Drosophila melanogaster: one gene and its partner. The protein of the gene in region 2 purifies or fractionates together with the protein of the main gene of each other region. This does not show direct contact. Each region holds a gene or a part of one and is shown on either strand. Other genes may lie near its edges.

Region 1 (5,393 bases), on a different chromosome or scaffold from region 2:
CAGTTTGTAATTTTAGATATTTATCTAATTGAATTGTTATGGTACGTGTAAGCTCAATCATGGTAAAAATTCTCGATAATATATTTTCGCGACACTATCTTAAAAATTTGATTGACTGATGTCCTTGAATTTTCATAACGCATTCGGTATATTGCATTTTCGTTTAGTTTTTATCCTGAGTTTTGTTGATCAGGTATACTTGGCACTTTGATAATCGCTTGGCGATTAATTGTTCTATGTATTTGTTGTAATCGTTTCGTAAATACTTAAAACTCTGTTATTTCATTCATTTGTCTCTCATTTTTCTTGACTTGTATGCTTGCAGTGCAGCTTCGGTTCGTGAATATATTCAGTCTTACGTTTTTTTTTCACATTTTTCACTCATTATTCGTCTTTTGATTGATTGTTTTGCTTAATAATTTGCAGTTTTACTGATTGATTTCTTTTAAACAAAATATTTTAAATAATAATATGTACGCTTAAATAAGTTTAATGCATTAAACACATTTTTGAACATTATTTTATTGACTTTGATTATGGTTATGGTTTTTGCATCTTTTTCTAATATACTTTGTGTATTTCGTTACTTGTTTTTTTTTTCAGCTTAAATTTAAGGAGTTACATTATTACGAACTTTTTTTTTTGCTTAAATTGTCACTATAAGAGGTTTTTGTAAAACAAAAAAGTAATAAGTCACGCTTTTGTCACGTTTTTGTCATTCATAAAGAAAAAAACACAATCTTGCAAAATCATAAACGCTTTCAGATGCATGTGGGATAGAAAATAATTGTGTCGAGAGTGGATTGCGGTTTTCAGCTTAAAAACTAAAATATACATTGCATTCATTTGTATACAATTTTACATGATTCACAAAATGTTTAAATTTAGTTCATTCAAAAGATCATGTTACGTACTCTCATTTTTCCGTCATATAAAAAATATGATTGTAGCATACTTTGGTCACAGTTGACTTGTAATTGTAAATGGAACTAAGGAGGAGCACATTTAATTTTCTTAGGCTGGAGCTCAGTGCAGTCTAGCTCCGTTTGTCTATTTAGAGAACATTAAACAACAGGCAAGGCGGATTATTTCAATATATCTGTTCAGTACTCATGGGGAGACGAAACGGAAACAAAGGGGGATGTTAATTTGGGGTGGGGGTTTATGTAGAAAGACGTCGAAACACTAGTTTGCTTAAATGCTAAGAAAAAGAGAACTTTATACTTAAAACTAAAATTGTATGCTTTGAGTGACCGCGTATGTGTGTGTTTGCGTGTTATGTATAGCAAGTTAATTGTTGCATTAAACATATATTCCCTTCCATGTTACTCTGCCCTAGTCCCTTCTTATTTGGTTTTTTGGCCTATCGAAGCACGCGCAGCGTTCTGTTCTCTAGTGTGCCGTCAGGGGTGGGAGTGGGAAGTGGTTGTTTAGTAGTAGGCGGCTGCATTTGAATAGTTCTGCGAGTACGCCTGCGAATCTGAAAGAAGACACCGATGACGGATGATGCAACTGGAGGGAACTGAAATAACCTACCATAACCCGCGTAGGCACGCTCATCGTAGCCAGTGCTTTGCGCTCCGTGCTGGCTGTAGTCCGCTTGTCCGGTAGCATTGTAGTCCACTGCAGTCGAGCCATACTGTTGGCTGTAGTCCTGGCTGTACGACTGATACCGTGTATCCTGCGGTGCGGCATAGCCCGTCGAGCTGTTTGGAAGCACAAAGCAATACATTAGCACTTGCGTGGCCCAATTGAAGGCAAGAAACGTAGAGAGAGAGACGTCAAGATTAGGTAACCCACTTGTAGTTCTGATACTGGCTCTGATCGTATTCGGTGCTGTGGTGGGCTCCGTAGCTGCTGCTCGCCGGAGCACTTGTCTGCGATGTGTGAGCCGCATAGCTGCTGCTACCGCTCTGGCCATAGCCATTGTATCCCTGCTGGGTGGTCTGGGTGCTGTAACCGCTCTGCGCGTAGGGGTCCACTTGTTGGGTCTGCTCGTGTGTCTGATAGCTGTGATGGCTGATAAAGAACAGCGTCAAAAAATGTACCAATTATTTTTGCAGATTTAGAAAGTGTGCACTATATTGATTTGATTATATAATATTTGAAAATTCGATGCCTTACCTTTGTTGTGGCGCATGGTGACTTGGCGGCGAGCCATAAGAGGACTGCGAAGACATGCCGCCGCCTCCTCCACCACCCATATGCTGCTGTGTTGAATGGTACTTGGGCGTCATGGGCCGTTGGCCATATGGACCGCCCTCGTAGCGACCGCGTTTGGGACCAGGACCACCGGGAGCGCCGCGTTTGAGAGCTGGTACCGGTGCAAGTTGTGTATTGGGATTATGTGCCTGATGGTGATGCAAGGGTGGCCGACTCATACCTTGATTGTAGCCGCCCCTGCCCCGAGGACCTCCGCGCCTGGGCATCGAACCGTGCTCGCTGCCCGGACCGCCGCCCATGGAATTGCCGTGGTGGCTGTGGGAGCCACCGTACATGCTGCCGCCTCCACTGCCGTTCATGTGCGAATTGTAGCCGCCGCCACCACGTCCACGTCCACTGAAGGGACCACCACGTCCACGTCCACGGCCCAGATATGGAGGAGGTCCTCCTCCGTTGCTGCCCCCAGGAGCGGAACTGCCGCCATGCGAGTTGCCCGAAGACGGGACGACCGCTGATGTCTGGCCATCGGTGACCTCATCACCGGCTGCTTCAACCGCTGGCTGTTCTCCACTGATCGCCGAGGTGGGCACTGGTGATACGGTCTTGTTGTTCTCGGCACCTGTGTGTTGTTTGGGAGCTAAATTGGATTGGATTGGATTTACAAGGTATGGCAGGAAGTCGAGGGTTGTCTGCGGAAACTTACGCTGCGAGTACAAAGGTGGGCGACCGCCCCGCATGCCCATGGGAGCGCCACCACGCGGCTGATAACCGCCGCCGCGTCCCTGATAGCCCATTCCACCACGGGATCCACGCATTCCCCTCGGAGGACCCGACATCATGCCCTGCATGGGCGGTCCTCCGCCCATTCCGCTGCCGCCGCCTCCGCGCATGCCACCCATAAAGTGTCCACGACCGCCACGACCACGTCCGCGATCGAAGCCACCGCGCATAGGCGCTCCACCGCCCCGTCCACGGAAACCGCCTCCACGTGGACCGCCCATCGATGGCGAGGACACTGAGCCTCCTTCCATGCTCCTCTCTCGCTGTTCTCGTACACTAGATCACACGCACTACCACTTGCACTGGTATTCTTCGCACTCGGACGCGGATTTTAAGACTGCTGAAGCCGGAGGAAGAAGAAGAAGCAGCGTTAGGATGCCGCAGATTGACGATTCGAGGAACTATTGCTAGCGACTAATCGTTTCTATTGATGCTTACTGGTCACTTGGTCACTCGGCGCACTTTCAACAGTAGCTTATCTTAAATAACTTATTTAACTTAACATTATTCGGTGTGCGAAGCGCGTTGGTCTTCATTCAGTGAAAAAATATGGCGGCGACTATTGATTTTTGTTGCAGCGCTGCCCACTCGTCGCTCTTTTGCGCCAGTGTTGTCATCCTTCAGCGACAATATAGCTATGAAAACTTGTTATTATAATTTTCCAAGAGTTAATATACAAAACAGGTTAATACGTAATGAATTAATTTATAGTTCAAACAAATAGAGTCTAGTCCATAAACATGCATTAAAGATATATTCAAACTCCGGAGGGAATGAGTTTAAGCAAATTTTAGTTGGAATGGTGATCGCTAGTAGTTAGTTTAGAATTGATGGAAACACTTAAGATGATTATTGCTTAATGATTTAAGAAACTGCTCCACTCTCATTCAAAAAAGCAAATTAAAACATTGAGCAGTCCCAGCACAAGTAACTAATCTGTAGGTAATTTGCAATTCACGGACCACGGCCACACTTGGCACTGGGAAAAATGGAAAACACAAGATAAAACGTGAACCCTTTGGTCGAAATTCGGTGGTCACAATCTGGTATCTGGTGAAAAGGGACGACAGGCGAGTGCGACAGGATGCCGGGCAAGGTGGGGGTGAAGATTAAGGCGGCGCGCAACCTGCCCGTGATGGACAAAAGCAGCGAAACCACGGACGCCTTCGTGGAGATCAAACTGGCCTCGGTGACCCACAAGACGGATGTCTTCCGCAAGAGTTTGAATCCCACCTGGAATACCGATTGGTGAGGTCTGACCATTCAATAGCTCCATATATTGTAACATTTGCTTTCTGATAGGTTCCGTTTTGAGGTGGACGACGCTGAGCTCCAGGATGAGCCCCTGCAAATCCGCCTGATGGACTACGACACGTACTCTGCGAACGATGCGATTGGAAAGGTCAACATCAGTTTGAATCCTCTGTGCCTGGAGAGCTCTAGTCAAGCGGTGCACGGCAAGGGTACCGTGTTATCCGGCTGGATTCCTGTTTTCGACACTATGCACGGTATTCGCGGCGAGATCAATGTGATTGTGAAGGTTGACCTGTTCTCGGACGTCAACAAGTTCCGTCAGAGCTCCTGCGGCATCCCCTTCTTTCACTGTATAAGCAGACAAATATTCTCTAAAGAAATGGTCTATTAATTATCCTTTTATCTCCAACAGCTCAGTGTGTGCCATTTGGCTACCGCGCCCAAGTGATTCATGGCTTTGTCGAGGAATTGGTGGTGAATGACGATCCGGAGTATCAGTGGATCGACAAAATACGCACACCGCGTGCTTCCAACGAGGCTCGCCAGGTGGTGTTTCTCAAGTTGTCGGGTCAGGTGCAGAGGAGAATGGGCCTAAAGGCTATTAATATGGGTGCTAATGCAGTCATCGGCTATACCCAGTGCTTCGATTTGGAGGGCGACGTGGGTGTGGTAGCCCGAGGCATTGGAACGGCTGTGACGCTGATCAAGGACACCAGCACAAGCCAACCAAATAGTGCGGATGTGGCACTGATCGAAGAGTGAGTATTTGGTGGCACTAGTCGCTGTCTGATTACTCATAACTTATTAATTCTTTTGCTATTTACTATACTCTTGCAAAGCAATTGTCATATTTTAGCTGTCCGATTACATGATTACATAAGTCTATTAACAATATCTATATCCATGTCTGTGCTAGTACAATTTTTTCTTATCAGGCTGCAAAAGTATTTGAAACTTCGGTTCCCGAAGCCAACCTACCCTTGATTGTACAAACAATTTGTTTAGCATCCGTAGCTGAAAGTAGGTGCTAGTAGAAAACGAACTTAAATATTTTCTAAAGCGAATTTTTTCTTCTTTTGAACGTTCTTCCCCACACCGAAATCTCTGCGACGATGTTCATCCCTCAATATCTTAACTTTCGCTCCTTGTCGTATCGTATTGCACGTTCCAATCGTTGTCGTTGTTTCGTTGTTGTG
Region 2 (4,813 bases):
GTTCTGTGCGCACATTTCATTCATTTTTCAAATACTTCTGCAGCACCAACTGTCAGATACATTTCTGGTTTCCTTTGCCGCACGTCTTTTTATTGTGGCTGCTTGCAGTGTGAATGTCCTTTGCTGTCCTCACAAAGGACACGCAAAAGCCAAATAAGAGCGAAAAAAGTAGAAAAAAACGCAAAGAGCGGAATGCAGAAGAACGAAGAGAGACTTGCAGCAGCTTCGAGTGCAGAAAACCCAACTATGAAGAACTTGTCTGCGGATCGTGAACTTAAGAACTATCTAAGAGGAGAAAAGGCCGGCTGCATTTTGTTGTTTGTGCAGATGTTTCTTCGAGGTTCCTCGAGGGATTTTATGGGTATGCGTTGCGTATGGGACAGGTCAGTGTTCGGAGGATTCGGATTCAGATTGAGATTCGGTTCCGGAGGATTCGAAGTCGGTTAAGGGTTGTGCCCCTAGGTTGAATGATTTTCCATTACGCAATGCAAATAGACAGCAGCGTTCCGCGTACTCGCTTTGTTTTGTTATTTTCTCTGTCAGCGCCAGGCAACAATGCAACTGTCAAGGTTTCCATTTTCCGCCGTGGATTGCTCTCTATGAAATGGCGAAAAAATGGCAGCTCCACTAATAGTTGGCATGAAACGAGGTTGCAACAGGACCGCCACGAGAAAAAAGTGAAATGAAATCAACCGCCCCCGCTCTTTGCGCAAAAGTAAAAAAGGGGCAAAACATGGCAGGCAAATTGTACCAAAATCCCGCAACGGCAGCCAGTGCAATGCCAGGATATATGGCACATGCCCACAAGGTCCTGCCTCCGTGTCCTGCGTCCAGCGCAGCAGTGGCAGCAACAGCACCGCAGCAACGTCCACGGCACCGCAGCAACAGCAGCGGGAAAGTAAAACTTATTCGGCTGGTCGAACTGCGAATGCCCTGAATTTCGAAACACATTTTGCGAGCTTATCTATTCTGATAAAATTGTAAATAAATCAATAAACTATACGCCAATTACCATATAATGCATGCTTGAATTCAATGTGCTTAATTGCTAAGTAAGCTAAGTAAGCTCCTTGGTTAGGGTATCAAAACAAAGGCAGCAGAAAATATCTCGTAGCGCACATAGATTGCAAGTTCGCATTGTGAGCGCGAAACTAGGGAAAAAAATTTTTAATTGGAACAACAACTGTACAGCGGCGCAGCAGCAGCAACAACAACAAAAGCGCACTTCAAACGCCGCATGTTCGTATCCGTGTCTTGTTGCAGCTGTGTGTGTGTGTGTGTGTGCTTGTGTGTTAATGAAAGAGAGAGGATGCAGCCGTAAATGTAACTGTGTGCGTGCGGCTGTGTGTTTGTGTGTGTGTGCCAGGACTCTCGAGCCAAAAGTTGCAGGCGCAACAGCAACAAGCAGCAGTTCGAAGTTAAATATTTAAGAATTTACAAAACTTTTTAGGGAACATAAAAATAAATACAAATTTCAAAACGAAAGAATCTTGCTCTTCATCTTTTAATGATGGTCAAACTGAAAAATAATATATTTTACGAATGACTAATAAGCACAAAAATAAATTAAAAATCATTTCTTAAAAATGCTTAAGTATTGAATGAATTATACAATATAAAACCGCTAGTTAAGAGAATTCGGTCGTCATGCTTGTTGTATTCTTAAGTTCGAGTGGAGCCCGCATTGGTTCGATGCGAACATGAACCTGTTCGCTTCGAGCACGAACTTGTTCGATACATTTTATGTTTGCTCCTTCATTTTCATTTTCATTTTCAGTTCAGTTAGTTCAGTTGTTGTGTATCCTTCGGGTGAAAAGTTTCCTACAAAACACGGACTTTTGCACCGCCGCCGCCGTTCGAGCGCTAGAAACGAGTGCGAGTGCGTGTGAGACTTACTAGCTAACTAACTGATTCTGATTCTGATTTTCGGGAATATACTATCCCTTCGGTGTGGGTGTGATCGAGTTCAAGGACTCGCGACTAACTTGTTCCAGTTTCGAAAACAGGCAGCCCCAAATAATGTGACCAATGTGACCAGTGAATTAGAATATCCAAGAGCAAAACAAAATCAAGAACTCCCGCAGATGCCGCACTTGCAGCTCCAAGTTCTTCAGCTTTTCATCCAAGTCCCGGTTTAATTTGCAGCTCCAGTTTCGCGCTCGGTTCTCTGGGTTTCCCTGCAATTTCCGCGATTTCCTTCTTTTGTTCCCTTCGTTCCGTTTTCGCGTCGCGGTTTGTTATTGTCAACTTTCGTTTTCGTGCGGTTTTTCGCGGCTTTTCTAACGGTCCAACGACGGTCGGCAAATGGATAGTGAAACTGGCTTGGATTTCCAATAGCTTCTAAGTACTCAACATTTTCCGAGGAAAAAAACTCGTGAAAGGACATGGATTAACAACTAAGGTTTGTAGTAGGGATTTAACAATATACATATATTTAAGTATATATAAATCGGGATGCTTTATGTATACCTTTTATCTATATATAACTATTCTGCGTATATAATCATTTTATTTGTGGTACCAAAGAAAATTAAATAAATGGTTTTTTTTTTTCATTAATTAAGCATAGCCATCAAACAAAAAGACAAATAGCCGCATACAGAACATAACTAACTCTTTGAAAACGAATCGTAAGGAACGTTTCCAAGAAACCAAACAGAATGGCCATATCCCTTTCATAAAACCGACTCCAATTAATAAAGCCAATTGAGCAAATGTATAAAAATGTTGAGCTCCAATCAAATATAAAACTCTACGCTTTTGTTCCTAATCCCTCAATTAAACTCACCTCTCGACCGAAAGCCAAAGAAAAACAAATTTCCAATTGAAATTTGCATTTGGGGCACAGGAAATACTTTCCAAGCGTAAACATGTAAACAAAGAGATAACAATTGTTATTGGTCATCCGAGGATCAAATTACAATAAGTGCAAGCTCAAAGAAGACCCAAAAAACAAAATCACAATCACCTAAGCAGGCAATTTCAGCGAGCTTTATTTGTGCAAGACAAATAAACAAAATAAAATAATAATATTACAGTAAAGGCAGAGGCTTCTCTTTTTGGACCGCAAACACTTATGGCAATGAGTAATGACTTTTAAAAGAAGAACTGTTTCTGATAGATACATTTTGCGTTTGTCTTAGCGCCAACTTAAATTAAAAAGCAGCGGGCTCTGAACTTCTTCTGGTTGTGAAGAGTTGAGCCGAGGCCCTGAAAACGTGCCAGAAAGCGACACACAGAGATACAAAGATACAGATACTCGTAACTAACAGTAACGTGCGTACATCTTCAAGATACTTTTTGGCGCGCTCAGAACAGAAGCGCCGAAAACAGAAAATAAAACAAGGAGAGTACATGGGAACGAGAAGCACAACAGAAAGCGAAAAGCTAAGAACACAGAAGGAGATACTTGTGCTCCTACAAGATACAGCTACAGATACAGATACATGGCAATAAAGAGAATTTAAAGAAAGATAAATAATAAAACCAAACAAATTGAGGCGCAGGCCGCGAAAGAAGTTCAAGTTCAGCGAATGTATCTCCGTGCCAGTATCTGTATCTGTTGGATGCAATTTGTCGGCCGCCTGCAAGTTTATTACCGTCTTACCCCCAATGAATCTATATATAGCTGCCATATTTTGTTTACAATTTTCCGCCGCCCACGATTCATTCATAAAACACATCAGCCCAAAATAAAAGTTGGCAAAAGGACACGCAGGCAAATTAAGGCTTTGACCTAGAGAAAAATAAACAACACCCAGGATATAACCCCTGCCCCCGTCCTCCCCCCCTCCACACACTCGTTAACAGTAACGTGCGTGACTTTGAAAGCAGGCAAGGCAAATGACAAACTCGTAAATCTCAACACACTCACGGGAAGTGGGTGGTGCGTTTTTTTTTTTGGGATGTGGGTGAAAATGCGAGGCATAAGTGCCCCTACTCCCATTCATATACGCTTAATACTCAGCCGCGTATGCCTGTCCATGGACTCCTTGCATGGCTTCATTGGGCCCCACAGCACGTTTCATTTCATCCACACCTGCACCGCCGCACCACTCCGCGCACAACCCATCCCCACACCCAAACACCCAAACACCAATACCGCCAAGCTTCGGCACAACTCAATTTGCACGTGACACAACGAGGAACGAGATGTGGAGCAGGCACTGCCAGGCGAATTAACTCGCGTCAGGAATTTAAAGAAAATATCTTTCAGATACTATATATATTTTTAAGCATTCAAGTTCTAAGCTAGAACGAAAAAATGTTATATGAGAGCTTGAAATTAAGTTTTCGTATTAATATTCGCCATCATTTATAATATTGTAATAACTTGCCTTTAAGAAATTCAAACAGAGAACCGACAGAGAATAGTCGCTTAACTAAAAACAATTTTATTGCATTTGATGGCTTGATAAACAGCTTTCACTAAATTGCCTGCGTTCCATAGTATTTGTCTTGACTTTCAAGCTACCTTCCGCACAATATAAACTCGATTAAGTACATCCACCACCTTCGCAAGGAATGCAATTTCAGCCGTCTAGTTCGTATCATTAACATAAAATGAAATAATTTCCCCACCCATTTGCCAGTTTGTGGGGCTTCTTGAAATGCTACCCGGCCGAAATGATGCACCCCACCGAAAGTGGAATGGAATTTTATTCATTAACTTGCTGCGCTGCACATTTGGCAATTGTATAACATGCATAAATATGCAAACTTATTATGGCCCGAAAAATAGTTTCGCAATAGCGCAGTGCTGGGGAAAAATGTTAATAAATATTTAGCCCAACTGCTTTTGAACAATCCTCAT

Evidence for each region.
Region 1: the proteins of Tet (region 2) and CG5746 purify together in Drosophila melanogaster (affinity purification with mass spectrometry, with the first as the bait; one large-scale study listed by BioGRID). This does not show direct contact.

Annotation. Positions count from the first base shown.
Region 1 is NT_033777.3:24,345,281-24,350,673, forward strand, and holds CG5746 (uncharacterized protein), read right to left. Parts: upstream 3,512-5,393; 5' UTR 3,382-3,511; exon of another isoform or gene 3,284-3,381; 5' UTR 3,195-3,283; coding exon 2,867-3,194; intron 2,801-2,866; coding exon 2,125-2,800; intron 2,020-2,124; coding exon 1,801-2,019; intron 1,707-1,800; coding exon 1,537-1,706; intron 1,481-1,536; coding exon 1,431-1,480; 3' UTR 512-1,430; downstream 1-511. Other genes in the region: CG6454 (uncharacterized protein), read left to right, coding at 4,028-4,191, 4,246-4,547, 4,610-4,955.
Region 2 is NT_037436.4:2,876,121-2,880,933, reverse strand, and holds the start of Tet (Ten-Eleven translocation (TET) family protein), read left to right. Parts: upstream 1-1,775; 5' UTR 1,776-2,401; intron 2,402-4,813. UniProt on the Drosophila melanogaster protein: Dioxygenase that specifically demethylates DNA methylated on the 6th position of adenine (N(6)-methyladenosine) DNA.